Linked DNA regions of Xenopus tropicalis. The protein of the gene in region 2 interacts with the protein of the main gene of each other region in a pairwise test. Links are inferred from orthologs where the notes say so. Each region holds a gene or a part of one and is shown on either strand. Other genes may lie near its edges.

Region 1 (6,119 bases), on a different chromosome or scaffold from region 2:
TTTCGGCGATTTGCGCGAAATCGCGCCGCCGCGTCTGCCATCCCGCCGGCGACTTACATGTTCGCCGGTGGGATGGCAGAGGGAAGGCAACTCGGGGAGATTAGTCGCCCACGAGCAGGGAGTTTTGCCGCGGGCGACTAATCTCCCCGTGTACCAGAGCCCTAAGTGTTTATTTGTTTTATAAGTCCAAATGCTTTACATTGCAAACGATGATAAAGATCATGCCTTAAGGTAGAACAATGCAGGTTTTATATGTGTATACATCTTAAGTGCTCTTCTGAGCAGTTTATGCAATTTGCATTATTGTTTTTAACTAATAATAGCAGTTTTTGTTACCATGGTACAATGGTAATACAACAAATTTGAAACAGCAGTGCCATCTGCTGCCAGAAAATTAGAGTACTGAGCAGTAAGCGTCTTCTGTATTTCTCTATTAGTTCTACCAATTAGCTGACTGCTAGAACTGAGCAAAGAAACGCTGAGCAAAAGTGCTCATAAGAGTACAGCAGTTTTACATTCAGTTGTTTCAGGGTGCTTAAAGGAACAGTAACACCAAAAAATATATTATATAAAATAAAATAAATAATAAGTTGTTATTATTTATTATTATAAATAATAAGTTGTGTGTTTGATTCAGAAAGGATACCATAGTTGATATAAATAAGCTGCTGTGTAGCCATGGGGGCAGCCATTCAAACTGGAAAAAAGGTACAAATGGCACAGGTTACATAGCAGATAACAGATATACTCTTTAGAATACAATGGTGTTTTACAGTGCTTATCTGTTATCTGCTATGTAACCTGTTTAGCCCCATTTCAATTTAAATAACCACCCCCATGGGTACTTGGCAACTTTGTTTATATAAACTATAGTAGTGTTTCTGAACCAAACAAACAGGGCAATGCTACATTGTATTGTAATTATTTCATGCACTTCCTTCCTTTAATTACCCTGCTCAGGAAGCAGGGCCAGAAATGCCCCCATTGGCTTTTTTGCCAGTTGCATTAAAGTGTACTTGCAAGTGCAATTTTGTAATATATGGTGATTTGGCTTTGCTTACTAAGCTACTAAACATCATACTTGGATTCCCTTGACAGTTCTGCAGATGTATTTTCCAGGCACATTATTAGGCAGGATACTGTACAGCCCACTCACTTTCATAATGAGTCTGAATAATGACTTCCACATTCAGGACATAGCATGTAGCAGAGTCTGGATAGGATAGCCATTGAGGAATACATTTTAGGGAATGAGTAGTTCCATAGCTTTAAGAGGAGAAAGGAAAGATAGAGGCGACTGCTCTGGTCCTTATAGCACCTGTATACGGCATGATTGGTGCGTAGCAGGAACAAGATGGAATCAGCACGTACCATTTTATATCAGTGCTGTGGCTGTCAGCAGTGCTGTGAGTTGTGCTGAAGGGCCAAAAGTTGGACAATCCAACATTACTGTATATAAAACCTGGGCCCCTCCACAATTAAAGATGGTTGCAACTAGATCATTAATGCAAGATGCTTAAGGGCTTCAGTGAACTCAGTCCTGGCAGAGACGCACTGTGCATATTTGTGTGAGTATTGAAAGGAGAATATATCAGATTTAGAAGTAAGGTTTATTTTCAGTTTGCACAGATGAATGTGAGGGTATAGCAGTTCTAATTTTTACCCACAGTGGGAACTCTGAAACTTGGAGGTGGTTGTAGCTCCAGGGATCCCCTGCCTCAATACACACACTTGCATGTGATTTGGCACAGGAGGTGGGAACAGCGCACTAGTAGAAGTATAGATGCAAGTCCAGGAATCTGACTCCTTATCCAGAAGCCCATTATCCAGAGAGTTCTGAATTACGGAAAGGCCATCTCCCATAGACTCCATTTAAATTAAATAATTCAAATTTTTTAAAAATAATTTTCTGTAATAATAAAACAGAACCTTGTACTTGATCCCAACTAAGATATAATTAATCCTTATTGGAGCCAAAACAATCCTATTGGGTTTAATTACTGTTTAAATATTTTTTTTGGCAGACTTAAGGTAGGCGATCCAAATTACGGAAAGACCCCTTATCCGGAAAACCCCAGGTCCCAAGCATTCTGTATAATAGGTCCCATACCTGTACCTATAATAAATGGCATCAGTTCACACAATGACTTCATACAAAAGCAGTTGCTGTTAAACTACAACCCTCTGAATCACCTTTGCCATCATTGAACAGTGAGATGTGTACTTCTGCATCAACTTAAGGGTTGCAGGTTTGGCAATACTGAAATACAGTGTCTATCTTGCTCTATTATCACCATGTGGCTCTACTGTTGCGGTATTACCCTGTTACCCCACCAACATCCTATATCTAACTAATGCTCTGCAATGCCCAGGGCAGTTCCTCCTATTAGCAACTCCCAAACAACAGCTGTGCAAGTAATTCATATATTATGTACTGTTTCCCTGTACTAGTAAAAGTTGTGCATTTGCTACAGAAATCCTACTATAGTTAAAGGAACAGTAACACCAAAAAATGAAAGAGTTTTAAAGTAAATTAAATATAATGTACTGTTGGCTTACACTGGTAAAAGTTGTGTGTTTGCTACAGTAACTCTACTATAGGTTATATATAATGAGCTGCTGTGTAGCCCCGGGGGCAGCCATTCAAGCTGGAAAAAAGGAGAAGAGGCACAGGTTACATAGCAGATAACGGATAAGCTCTGTAGAATACAATAGTGTTTTATCTGTTATCTGCTATGTGCCTGTGCCTTTTCTCCTTTGAATGGCTGCCCCCATGGCTACACAGCTGCATTCTTTATATAAACCATAGTAGTGTTTCTGAGGCAAACACACCAGTTGTACCAGTGCAGGGCAGCAGCACATTATATTGGAATTTCTTTTATACACTTGAATTTTTTGGTGTTACTGTTCCTTTAATATAAACAAAACTGCTGTGTAGCCATGGGGGCAGCTATTCAACCTTTAAAAGGAGAAAAGGCACAGGTTACATAGCAGAAAACCAATAAGCTGTGTAGATTCCAATTGTATGTTACAGTGTTTATCTGTTATCTACTATGTAACCTGTGTGTTATCCTTTTTTTCAGCTAAAATAGCTGCCCCCATGGTTACACAGCAGCTGATTTATAGAAACTATATTAGGGTTTCTAAAGCAAACACACAAGTTTTACCAGTGCAGGGCAACAGTACATTACAGTAAGTAAAGTAAGGAGGAGTAATCCACAAAATATAAAGAGAAATGTAAGTGATGAAGAATAATGACTAAAATTAATGTAAAACAAACCCAATTACAGAGGTAGTTAGCCTTTTAACTTTTAGTATGAGGCATAATGAGACAGTTTGCAATTGGTCTTCATTTTTCAGATTTTGTGTTTTTTTTAATTATTTAGCTTTTTAATCAATAGCACTCCAGTCACGTTCTACTTTCTGGTCCGCAGAGTCAAACAGATCAGCAGTCCAGCAGGTATGTTCAGCACAATCTCTATTCACTGAGCCAGTGTTAAACAAAGGGGTTGCGTGTCCCTTTAAATTGGAAAACGGAAAGAAGTAGTAATAGTGCTATAAGGTGGTTTATATAACAGTGAATGGGAGACAGTAGGGATGGGTTTGGGCAAAAAAAACCCCTAAAGCTGCTAAATTATTTTTTAAAACTGCAGTTGTCAATTGTCAATGTCCAAGAGTATTCTCCTTGGCAGGAATAGTACATATATAAGCATAATCATGCAGTATGCTGGGAATAAAAAGGCTGGCTCTTTAGGGGAGTAAAAGGCTTGAAAGGAACATATAGGCTCTGGAACATTCTCCTTTTGTTCATAGTGTTACAGTGAGCTCAAACCAAATGTAGCCAGAAAGAGAAATGCAAAAATCACAATATACAAAAATAATTCTCTGCACAGAAAAACTAATTATATTGACAGACTAAGACATGCTAAATAAAAATATGGGATGAGTGATTCAGTTAATCAGTTCTATATATATGTGCCTTGCCTTTTCCCTAATACTAAGCATGATGTTCCAGCTCACTTACCTGGAGCCCTTGTCAGCGTGAGAGGCGTCGGAGGTTATGATTGGAGTGACAGACAAATGGCTTTTTCAAATGCCCTTTGTAGTGGGGCTGTCCCAAGCATGTGGTGGACGTTTTCTTTTAGAAACCAGACCCCACCGTCTGGCCCTGATCATATTGTATTGGGCAGGGGGCTGGGGAGGAGGGGGGGATTATCCAACTTCAATAAAAGGAAAAGGGAGAGGAACAGCAATCACCCTATGGAATATTTTTCTGTCCTCACATGTGCATTAAATTAGCACATACACACACACACACACACATATATATATACATATATCTATCTATCTATATATATTTGCAATTGTATGGTAAGTCTTTCAAGCACTTATTGATAATATACTACAGGTGTGGGATCCCTTATCCGGAAACCCATTATACAGAAAGCTTTGAATTACGAAAAAGCATGTCTCCCATAGACTCCATTTTAATCAAATAATTTTAAAACTGATTTCCTTTTTCTCTGTAGTAATAAAAGATATAAATAATCCTTATTGTATGCAAAACAATCCTATTGGGTTTAATTAATGTTTTATTGTTTTTTTTTAGTAGACTTAAGGTATGGAGATTGAAATTACAGAAAGACCTCTTATCTGGAATACCCTTGGTCCCGCACATTCTGGATAAGGGGTCCTATACCTGTATCATAAAAATATTTAGGAATCCTATATGGGTTAGCACTTGTTGGGCTCATATTAATATAAAATGAACAGTGTTTCATTTAAGGCTAATAGCACACGAAGAGCATTGACTCCCATACGCTCCTTGCTATAACTGTACTGACTGGCACTGCCTCGGCCTGTGTATATATTGTAACTATAAAGTGCCTGTGGTTTATTTTTTAACACAGGTGTATACTGCCCCTTTAAGCAGTTTGATTGAGCCAGAGGAGAGAGTGCCCTCTAGTTGAAGAAATAAGCTGCAAATAATAGCTGCGATCAATAATAGATGTGCAATCTCGGCATGTGTGTATGGCACAGATTATCTTTTCCAAAGTGTGGGAGGGAGCCTAAAAGATTTTGCCCAATGGTCTGGTAACATCTGCTTTTGTCATTTATTGTATTGCTTTGCTTGATGCACACACAGCATATACACAAACACTTGCAGTTTGGCATTTTACAGTTTTTCACTCCCCAGATATTAAAGGGGAAATCAACCCAAGCACAGATTAAGCTCTTTGAAAAGTAAACATAATTTCAAGCAACATTATAGCAATTAACAATTACAACAATTAAAAATATGCAGCCTTTTCATAATTTTTAATGTAATAATATGGTTTGGAACAGTTACCTAAGCCTAGCCCCCTGTTCTCCTGCTGGTCTGGCTGACTATAAGTCTAAAAGAAAATGTAACAGTAGCTGACTGCTCTCAGCCTGCATCCTCCAAATCCCACAATCCCGTGCACACGGGTTGTCAATAAGGAATAGAACATTGCAGTGCAATGCATTGTGGGGTATGTAGTTCCTGCATGCTATCTGTAAACTTTAGAGAACTTGTTACAATCTGAAACATACTTTTTAAAGGAACAGATTACAGCAGGGGTGGCCAAAACGTTGATCGCAGTCCACCAGTCAATCCCCTGTGGATTTCTGGTGGACCGCGTAGAAGTCAGGAAATGTTGAAGTGCGCCGGTTCCGCGTTTTTATTGGGTATGCAGAGTTCCTCTTTAATTAGAACATGCATCAAACACTAGAAAACTGTAACTGCTCAATATTTTTGCATTGCATGAGTTTTATTGCATTGAAGAAGCAGATGAAATGCATTCCTAAACATGGATCTGACGGCTATGTGCACAAGCCCTTACACCAAGTAGAGTTACAGAATTCTGTGCTAAGGAACATACTGATGATGGGCAGTTCAGTAATTAGGTTGTAAGTGGTTTGGATGCCTTTCTAATAAGAAGGGATATAGCTATGGTTATGAGATATATCAGTTCTGACTGATCCAGAGAATTATCCAGTTTTGCAGTTGGGAAGGATATTTCAGACTACACGCTAACGCCAAATCTCTATTTGACACACAAAGGGATTTCGAAGGTTGTTGACTTATGAATTAGATA
Region 2 (4,324 bases):
GTATTTTTTTTTTATCCAGTTGGTTTTTGTACTATACAAAAGATACAGGAGTAAAACATGTGATACTATGGGGCATATTTATCAAAGAATAAAACATATACTTACCACTAGTTCATCAGAGTGAAATTCTACAACTCTCAGTTATTTATATGGGATCCTAGGGAGCATATATATCAATGAGTAAAAGTGAGAGTCTTTAAAAATATGATAGAAATAAATTGAGAGCACCAGAATTTCACTGTGTTAAGCTCTAGATTCACTCTTTGATAAATGTGTCCCTTTAGCTCTCATGTATTAACAATGCATTAGTGCAGTAGTCTCACGTATAAACAATGCATTTGCGCACTAATAGCATAGCAACCAATTAGCATATAGCTTTGATTGGTCTTGTACATTTTGAATAATGAAAAGGAAATATATCATTATCCTGTATGGGTTAGTTCACAGGTGAAAATTTTCAACCTGGTTGAATTTTGAAACCTGGAGTATTTTGGTAAATAAGAATTCCATGTCATACCACTGAAGCAAGATAGATGTTAGAATACTAATGGGTAACAACACATTCATTAAAGTACGACAGGTCCGATTACAAAAAATTCTAAAGTTTACAACTTTTGCATATTTTCTACAATATTTTTGTTAATCTGCGCAACTTTTTCGTACTTTCCGACAATTTGCGCAACGATTTGTGCGACAAAATCGTATTTGTCGCACCAAGTATGAAAGTTTCGGATTCATTGAAGCTGTGGTATTGTGACTTTCCTTGGGCCAGGTTGGAGCTGCAGAGTGCCATTGAGTCCTATGGGAAGCTGCCAGAATCATGCACTGAAGTCAGAAAGGTTTTTCCGCCATTTACGATCGTTCGGATGTGATAATTTTGTGACTTTTGGATCGCCAATTGTAAACGATTGCTTCAATACGGAAATTTCTGAACTTTCGGATCGTAATTACGAAAGCTTAGTATTCAAACGAACTGAATCTTCATAACTTTTGCAATCATCAGAAATGATTGGATTTCGTGATTCAGATTCGTACTTTAATGAATGTTCCCCCATATGATTTGATCTCTGTGTCATGCCAAAGCTACTTCAGGATTAAAAATATAGTTTGTGGCTGGATAGTAAATGCTAAAATGAAATGTTCATGGGGAGCAGGATTTTTTAATATAATGGTTGCAACCAAGCCTTGGTAAATAGGGGGAACTAAAATATTAATGCAATTAGTGCCTCTGTAATAATAGTTGCAGGATACCACCATGAGACTCATGCAGATGCAATATAAACCATGACCTTTGTTATAGAGACATATGTGTAAATTTGTCTATGACAAATGTTCTTACCTTCAAGTGTTTCTTCTTCAGTTTCTTCATATTCCTCTATATCATCTTCCTCATCTTCATCACAGTCTGTAAAAAATAACATTTAGCGGTACAGTACTTCCCAAATGGCTGATACAGCATTCTCATTAGTCTATTTTGATGCAGTTATGGGTTTCCTCTAACAGGTTCTCAAAATCACTGACCAAAGAAAGAGTGTATTTTACATTTGTTCCATGGTGACAAATATCTACCTTTTGACTAGATATGTTAAATAAACCCAATGACAAAATCAGTCTGTCTTTATTTTTTTTCAGTATTTGATTTTTTTTAATTTATACTACTACTACTTGGTGAGTGTTTTATTTACTGTTGCTTTTTTGTGCCTTTATTTTTGGTTTCGATAAAAAGCATGTAATGGTAGTTCAACTTTACATAAACTTTAACTATGATTGAACAGATATTTTGATGAGTGACAATTGTCTGAGACAATTTGCAATTGGTCTTCATTTTTCATCTGCTTGCTTTTGTCCCATTTCCCTAGCAACCAGGCAGTGGCTTAAATTAAGACTTCAAGATAAAGATATAGGTGAGGGTCTGAATAGAAAGTTATGTAATGGATAGTGATAGAAATAACAAAAAAAAAATGCAGCCTCGCAGAGCAATAGTTTTTTTTCTTTTTTACTTTTTTTCAGTGAACCCCATTTGAAAGCTGGAAAAAGACAGAAAGCAGCAAATAATTGTCCTACTTTTTTATTTAATTTACATTACTTGAAATAATTTTTGTAACTGATTTACTTTAAGAAAATTCCTTTGTAGACTGTATTTGTTTTAAACAATGATGACTATATTCTTATTATCAAATGCTATTGTCACCCCAAATCCTGCATTAAACAAGATCCTTTCCAACCATGATTCTCAGCTCACTTGGAGTGAAGTCAATGCTTCTCAGACACTGGCTGACATGTTCCATATCCAGGGTGAACTGGTCCATATTTTCAAATCCATGATCAGTCTTCTCCAATTGGCAGCCTTTGGATGCTTCCATTAGCCTGCAAATACAAGAGTTAACATTTAAATAAGCTGAACAGCACTCTGAACAGCTGCATTCTTAGATATCCCTAACATAATATAATAAAATAAAAATGGGCAAAATTTGCCCAAGTATAATGACCCATAGCAACAAATCAAAAGCAATGCTTGCTTTTGCATCAGACATGTATTTGACAAATAAATGCTACCTGCTGATACGACTCCTTGCACTAATTGCCATTCTACAACTTCCTCTTATGTCACCTCCCCATGTTTCTTTCTATAGCCCTTCCTTACTGCTGGATCCTTTGAATGTTTTCATTTTTTTTTACTAGTTGCTTCTCTGAGCAAAAGGCACACTGGTATTGTTTTATTATGAACTCGATATGGCTGAATCACCAGTTCATGCAGTAGGTAACAATCATATGATTTTCATGCTTTGGATCTGGAATGTTACTTACTTTTTAATAAGCTGTTTGGACTCCTGTAGGAAAACAGCAGAAAAGAAAAGGTTTAGCACAGCATAAGAGAGGTACAACATAAGAAATAGAAAATGTTTAAACTAAATTAGACCGCTATAAATGGATTTTTAAAGGATAAATTTATAAGACACAGGCAATTTGTATTTCCTGGATTTAATTTACACTATATTTGGGGTGTGTTGACCTATTATGCTCTGATTGTGTTGAAAGCTGTATTAACCTTTTAAAACTGTGGTGTCACATACTCTGGGTAGGTACATAGGTACATTTAATACTCTGTGAGCAGCATCGCAATATACTGTTCTTGCAAGTTGGATGCAGGGGGTATTCTGCCCAATTGGCTGGCACTGTTTGCATTGTGGCTTAATCTGCTTGACAACTTCCCTGAATAAATACAATAGAAGGCCTATTTATAAAGACGAGTAAAATATTTTATGCCCTTGTTTTTTGACCCCCCTTCCCTCTTGCCTTCTGTATCCCCCATATTATATGTTTGAAAATAAAGAATATTTAAAAAAATATATATTTTATGCCAAAAAAGTCATACAAAATATAACGTGTATTTCTAAGGTTCTTTTGTTGCCTTTACAGCAAAAATTTTTGGCATAAAAAGAGCCAGATCTGTTTAAAATGCAGTGGCACTTAAAGGAACAGTAACACCAAAAAATGAAAGTGTATAAAAGTAATTACAATATAATGTACAGTTGCCCTGCATTGCTACAACTGGTGTGTTTGCCTCAGAAAGACTACTATAGTTTATATAAGTTAGCTGCTGTGTAGCCATGATGTTACTGTTCCTTTATGCCTGTTTTTGCTTGGCTTTTTGTATTTAATACATCTTTTAATCCGGAAGTTTAAATGGTGCACTATGAAGCTAAAGGTATAGTTCACTGTTACAAAATTTGACTTTGTATTCACATGCCACTTTTTTTTTTTACTCGTCTTTATAAATATGCATGTAGAGGCATTTATGTTGGAAGTCCCAGTAAATTACCAGAAGAAAGTTAGCAGGTCCAGGCTGTTCCATAGCCTGAAAAGCATTCTGTAGCACATTGGATGAGGACTGGAGCTGTTCCTGATACCGTACAATGAGAGAACGCACAAAGTTCAACTTCTCTTCCTCAGCTTGTGAAATCCGCTGTACCAGATGAGTCTTTTTCTCCTCCAGGTTCCTGAAAAGTGTCTCAAACATCTCTTTCACAGACTCCTTTTTACTCTGACTGTTCTCCTAAATGGGATGATTAAAGAAAGAACAGTCAAACTCACTAATCTCTGTAAGTGATCAGTAACAACCCTCAAACACCTCTTAGGCAAGTAAGTCGGATTTATGGTTTCCTTTGATGTTACTTTGGAGCAAACATATACTACACTAAACTGTATTCTGGATAGACAGCCCTTATTATTATTAACATGTATTCCGCAGAACTGTACAAAAATGGGTGTATAAATTAAACATACAGATACATACAATGCAACCAATAACCAATACAAGAGG
Region 3 (6,006 bases), on a different chromosome or scaffold from region 2:
GCTAAAATGGCAATTTTCTATTTAGGAGTACATAGTAATAAATATTACTAAACAGTATATTTTCATGAAAATGGTTTATTTAAATTATATCTCATAGTAAGCATTATTTTGTAAATTTGTTAATAGTACATGCAACCATAAGGTTCATGTTGCACTGGAACTGACATACTATGGCATAGGCTCAAAAGAGTTATAAGCAGCTGTAACTAACAACTTCCTCCGAGCTGTTGTGAGAGGCTGTCACAAACATGCTGCCTAAGAAAAGAACATGGTAGCAAGTTACTTATTGGTTAAAGTAGTCATATTACACTGACTGATGGGCCTTAACCCAAACAAACAGAACAGTAGCAAGGTAGTATGCAAAAAAGAAATTGCCACTCTTTCTTATGCATCAAATAGAGTTAATGGGCTCACACTGTTCCACTATCTGTCATTGTGTCACCCCTTGGTAATTGGTCACAAAAAAAGAAAGCAGAGCCAAACAGTGCTTTGACAAAGGGCACAGGTCCCAAAACAGGCGGTTTAGTTTTATCCAAATAAAGTGTTGCAGTTAAAGGAACAGTAACTCCAAAAAATGAAAGAGCTTTAAAGTAATACAAATATAATGCACTGTTGCCCTGCACTGGTAAAACTGGTGTGTTTGCTACAGTAACACTACTATAATTTATATAATAAGCTGCTGTGTAGCCATGGGGGCAGCCATTCAAGCTGGAAAAAAGGAGAAAAGGCACAGGTTACATTGCAGATAACAGATAAGTTCTGTAGAATACAATAGTGTTTTATCTGTTATCTGCTATGTGCCTGTGCCTTTTCTCCTTTGAATGGCTACATAGTAGTTTATTTATATAAATTATAGTAGACTTTCTGAAGTAAACACACAACTTTTACCAGTGCAGGGCGGCAGCACATTACATTTTAGTTAAGTTTATACACTTTCATTTTTTGGTGTTACTGTTCCTTTAAATAGCACTGCTTTGTTGAGACTGACAATCAGCAGGTAGCATTTAGAGGCTAGGCTGTTTTAAAACAAACAGATCATCTAGTTTACTAAACCAGAGAAAACTCTTTGTATCTGCTTTCTGCATCAGTCACTGTATCCGAACGATCAGCTATTGATCTCCTTTGATCAGCAGGATGTTCTGTTGGGTGCACCCTGGACGGTGTGTGCAGATAGTCAGGCAGTAAGATTGAACTATAAACATTACCAAACTTTGATAGTCACAGAATGGTACGTTGGGTATCATCTAGGTACAATACATGCTCAGATGGTCAGGGACTAATGTCGAATTGGCCAAATTACCTGATTGATTCTTGGCACATATGATCACCTTAGCACTCATCTGTAAAGAAAAGCATGCATTTTCATCAGTGCAGTAACACTAGTAATATCCTGGAATCACCCAGTGCAGAATGGCAACTCAGTTTTCAGTGTAACACTGATCAGAATGGTGAATCTTCCAAACCTTATCTGTCTGTACATCTGTCCCCCTGCTTAGCAGCCAGGCTTTTAGATTTTTCATACTCTATCACTGTCTCTGCCTGACTGAGATGGGTAAATTGAAATTCCTAGTTCCCCCTCTCTCTCTGCTTCACCGTGTCACCCAGTGTATGATAGGATCCAAAATTCCCTCTGTCTGTACTACTACTGAACTGACCCACCCACTCTCTAATTATAACCCATAGTGAGAAAGCTGAGCTCTTGTGCTCCAGATAAAGGCATCAAGTCAGATATAATAGGAACCAATGAGAAGGCGTTGATGTCTTGACATCACAGTGACACATTTCACACCTTCAAAGAGCTGGCCAATTGAAAGCAACTTAGGGTTATATAAGATAGAATTTGGATGAGCTAGTTGGGTCACCCTGAAGTTTGCTCCGTCTCTAAAGCAGGTAATACATTTTACCCTTCTACTGTTAGGGGGAAAGCCTTGTTGTGTGTGAACTTGTTCTTTGCCAAAATAGACCTGCAAATTCTCAAACAAAAGACAACCAGAGCCAGTTTTAGGGTTTGGGAGAGAGGGCATTTGCCCCCTAGATTTGGTAGATGCAACATCAACTGGTTGGTTGCAGGATATAAATTCTTAATTTACATATATTGGGGCTCCAACCAACTACAATGCACAGGACTTCCACATCTATAACTTTTACTTAGAATGGTAAATTTATAGCGTCATCTCATTAATATCTTCATAGAATGTAAATCTTCCTTTAGCAAAATATACTTGCAAAGCATAAGTTTATAAACCACACATGCAACTTTTTTCGTACAAAAGTAATATCCTTCTAGCTAGAAAGTATTGTGTGGAAACCAAACTGTAGGTTTCTGCAGAACTCTGGGCAGACCAAGTGCCTAGAAAGTGTACAAAGAAGGACACTTGCAGACCATATAATTGTGTCCCTATGTGAAGGCTGCAGTGCATTAAACCTTTCCCTGTATATGATACTTGATCGATGCAATTATATCAGGGAGACCCCTGCAGTAACATTTACATGTTCTTTTTGTAGACTAAAATGATTGTAAATTTTGCATGTATTTGCTGATAAATAAGTACAAAACAGCTGTTACCATTTTCATTAATGTTTACAGTAGGTTTCTCAACTATTCCTTAGCACCCACCAGAAGTGAGCTTACCACTGTTATATCTACCTTTTACTGACCCTTCATATGTGACGACCTGTGCATTAGTGATGGCATCCTTAGTGCATGAAGCAAGGAAAGGACGTAGAGCCTTAATATTTATAAATAGTTACAATAATACAGATCTTATGAGGATTTAACTCATTTGAGCATTTAACACAGATCTTGGACAGATCTTGGAATTCTTCAACCCTTTTTGTATGGTAGACTTTTAGAGCCTTTCATTATTTGCTTGTAAGGTATACTTTCTTGTAAGGCAGATCTGTAGAGTCTTAACCAGCAAACTTGTGGAGCATTTACATTTTTGCCCTCAAGTCAGTCCACTAGAGCAATGCTCCTCCTAAGTTGTACACATAAAATATGACAACACCACACACTATCAATGTGGCGCATATAGAAAATGTTGTATGTACAAATATAATTTAGTAACTGTTACGACAATCTGTTGTGCAGTGCCAGAATGGTTAGTCTTTCAGATCCTGTCTATCTGAACTACTGCATGTTGTGACTCGGTATGCTCCAGTGTGTACAGTCCCCATAGAGAAGCATGGGTTCATTTAACTCTTACATCCCCGTGTGGTGGATGGCAAAAATCAATGCATGGAATCAAAGTTGTAAATGTTCAAATGCAAGAGCCCTTATTCTTTCCCATTTATTGGGACCTATAACTTTAACTCAGAAGCTCCAAAATTAATAGCCTGAACAGTGATTTTGGTGAAATGCGGTTTTGGATGCCTTGTTAACTATGTAATAAGGTAATTATGCCTGCTTAATTATTAGACCTAAAAAGTCTGAATAACTCACAGCTAAACAGAGCTACAGAACTTAAATCCTTTTTCTGTTAAATAAACCTAAAGAGACTTAAACCATTCCTTGTAAAAAAAAAAAAATACCTGCAAGAATGGCTGCAAAGCTCCTAAATCTTTCTTTCCAAAACAACTGGTTTCCTGATGAATTTTCAGATGCTTTCACTTAGGACCTTGTGAAAGACCTACTCTCTTTAACCCTATCTCAGTAAGACTGTCCCCCAGTAGGCAGCTTTCCCTACAACTGATCATCTGTCAGTGAATTCAAAAATCTCTTTCTAGTATAGGAATATCTGTTTACTGGGGACAGTTGATTTATGGGTCATTCAACCCTTCAGTATTGGTAAGCCCTACCATGATAGACAGATACTTAAAGTGATTGCATGTTTGTTTGTCTGTCTGTCTATCTTGCTTTGGCTTTGGCAAGGATAAGTATCGTGCACCATCCTTTACTCTTTCAGTACTCTTTTCAGAACTTTAAACCTCTCCCCACCCCCTTTCTTTCCTCTCATGTTTCACAGCACAGCCACCTGTTAGCTTTGGCTATGTGTACAGAAATGGCATGATCTATATTTATCCAGAACGTGCTGTCCCAGCACTGCCAAACTGCCACTCGCTGCTACTGAACAGGCACATTCAAGAACACAGCCCAATAAAGTGTCACATAGTATCTTACTGGTCATGCACAAACTCACCTCTACACCTACCATATCATATGCTTTTGTCAAATCGCCAACTCAACATGCTTTGCCATTTGTTGCATAAGATCGCACGTCTCATACCAAGCAATTATGGGACTGTGGTGAACAGGAGCCAGAGAACATCTAGAATTGCTGGATGTAGGGGTACATATTGGTTTGGGAAGGTTCATGAATATAAGGCTCAGATCAGAGAAGTGGAATAAATAAGACATCTCTATATAGAGAAGACTGCCCTTCTCATCTTTTGACATGTGAATCTTTAATATCTAGATAACTAAATGATACTCTGTCCAACATCCTAATACCATTAGGACTGTATCTAGGACACTTTATAAAGGATTAACTCATCCAAGCCATTTCACATTTGACAAGCTGAAGTGTTGCTTCTCATCTGGGATTTCTCAAATTAAAAACCAAAAAACTACTAGATTTGTACCAAATATTTTGTCTACTGATGATCAACACATGCTGAATAATCCTTTCTAATGAATGTTTTTTTTTTCTCTTTTAAATGTCCCTTAAACTGCAGGTCTAGCCCGATCTTCCAACATGCCTTTCGGTAACACCCATAATAACTGGAAATTGAATTATTCCTCTGAGGAGGAATATCCTGACCTCACCAAGCACAACAATCATATGGCCAAGGCCCTGTCTGCTGACATCTACAAGAAGCTCAGGGACAAGCAGACACCAAGTGGCTTCACCTTGGATGATGTCATTCAGACTGGAGTTGACAACCCAGGTAAGAAATCTATAATTCTTGAAAAGTCCAGGGTTTTGGAACATTGTGGCTCTATAATTCCACTATGCTTTTTGTAGATTGGCTGGACAGATGTGTCTGGAATAGCCCCCTTTTCTCATAATATGGTACAACATTTACAGAAATAACGATAGGCACATCAATGCAGCAGGGGATAGGGTTCCATAAGTATAAAGGGCTTATGGGGATTGCAAATGATACATTTTTACAATGGGGGGGCTGAACTATCAGATATATGGTTAGGGAATCTAGTAATATGTCTTATAGCTTTGTTTTAGTTTGAAGTGGCACAGAGAGGAAAGATGTACCTCCCTTTCATTTTGGGCCTGCATTTGGGGAAGACACAGAGACCTTTAAGGAAACACCAAATCCTCAGGTCACATTGCACCTCAGGAAGTAGGGTTCAACTAAATTGTATACTGCAGACATTTCAGAAATAATAATAAATGTGGAAATGCTGTGTGACCCTTCCTCCCTAGTTCTGTGCACCCACCTATGATAATGTTTTTCTGTAGAATACTTCAAGATTTGCCTGTGTTAAGAAGTAAAACACTATAAAATGTCTATTATCTCTGCTTCTACTTGACTACCATCAGAAGGAACCTTTATCTTTTTCTGTAAAAAAATGAAAAATGAAATCACAAGTTCGTTCTATAAATGAGTTACCCTGCTGTTCATAGGCCATCCTTTCATCATGACTGTGGGCTGCGTAGCAGGGGATGAGGAATCCTATGAGGTGTTCAAGGACCTTTTTGATCCCATTATTGAGGATCGTCACGGTGGTTACAAGCCAACTGACAAACACAAGACAGACCTCAACTTTGCCAACCTTAAGGTATTCTGGTTATTAAATTAACATAAAGGGCAGTAAGTGCAGTTTAAGATATAACATTGTTTGTTGAGGATTGTTTGGAAATTACTATAGCAGTTAGTAAAGATAGGAATGTAAAATATATTTTTTAGTATTTTTTAACATTTGTTTCTATTTCAGTAATGTAGCCCTACAGATTTACCCACTTGAGTTCCAGGCAGCAGGCAGCAATCCTTCTTTTTATACCAACTGATTTCCTCTATATATTTAATATCTTTATCGCTTGCCTA

Evidence for each region.
Region 1: the proteins of trim63 (region 2) and tnnt1 interact in a two-hybrid assay, tested with the Homo sapiens proteins (2 studies listed by BioGRID and IntAct). The link is inferred for Xenopus tropicalis from reciprocal best matches to the Homo sapiens genes TRIM63 and TNNT1.
Region 3: the proteins of trim63 (region 2) and ckm interact in a two-hybrid assay, tested with the Homo sapiens proteins (2 studies listed by BioGRID). The link is inferred for Xenopus tropicalis from reciprocal best matches to the Homo sapiens genes TRIM63 and CKM.

What each region holds. Positions count from the first base shown.
Region 1 is NC_030683.2:104,578,230-104,584,348, reverse strand, and holds the start of tnnt1 (troponin T, slow skeletal muscle), read right to left. Parts: upstream 4,136-6,119; 5' UTR 4,025-4,135; intron 1-4,024. UniProt on the Homo sapiens protein: Troponin T is the tropomyosin-binding subunit of troponin, the thin filament regulatory complex which confers calcium-sensitivity to striated muscle actomyosin ATPase activity.
Region 2 is NC_030678.2:76,881,272-76,885,595, forward strand, and holds part of trim63 (E3 ubiquitin-protein ligase TRIM63), read right to left. Parts: intron 4,058-4,324; coding exon 3,824-4,057; intron 2,832-3,823; coding exon 2,809-2,831; intron 2,368-2,808; coding exon 2,243-2,367; intron 1,406-2,242; coding exon 1,340-1,405; intron 158-1,339; coding exon of another isoform or gene 138-157; exon of another isoform or gene 106-137; intron 1-105. UniProt on the Homo sapiens protein: E3 ubiquitin ligase. Mediates the ubiquitination and subsequent proteasomal degradation of CKM, GMEB1 and HIBADH.
Region 3 is NC_030684.2:70,816,409-70,822,414, forward strand, and holds the start of ckm (creatine kinase M-type), read left to right. Parts: upstream 1-1,871; 5' UTR 1,872-1,890; intron 1,891-4,674; 5' UTR 4,675-4,694; coding exon 4,695-4,887; intron 4,888-5,585; coding exon 5,586-5,740; intron 5,741-6,006. UniProt on the Homo sapiens protein: Reversibly catalyzes the transfer of phosphate between ATP and various phosphogens (e.g. creatine phosphate).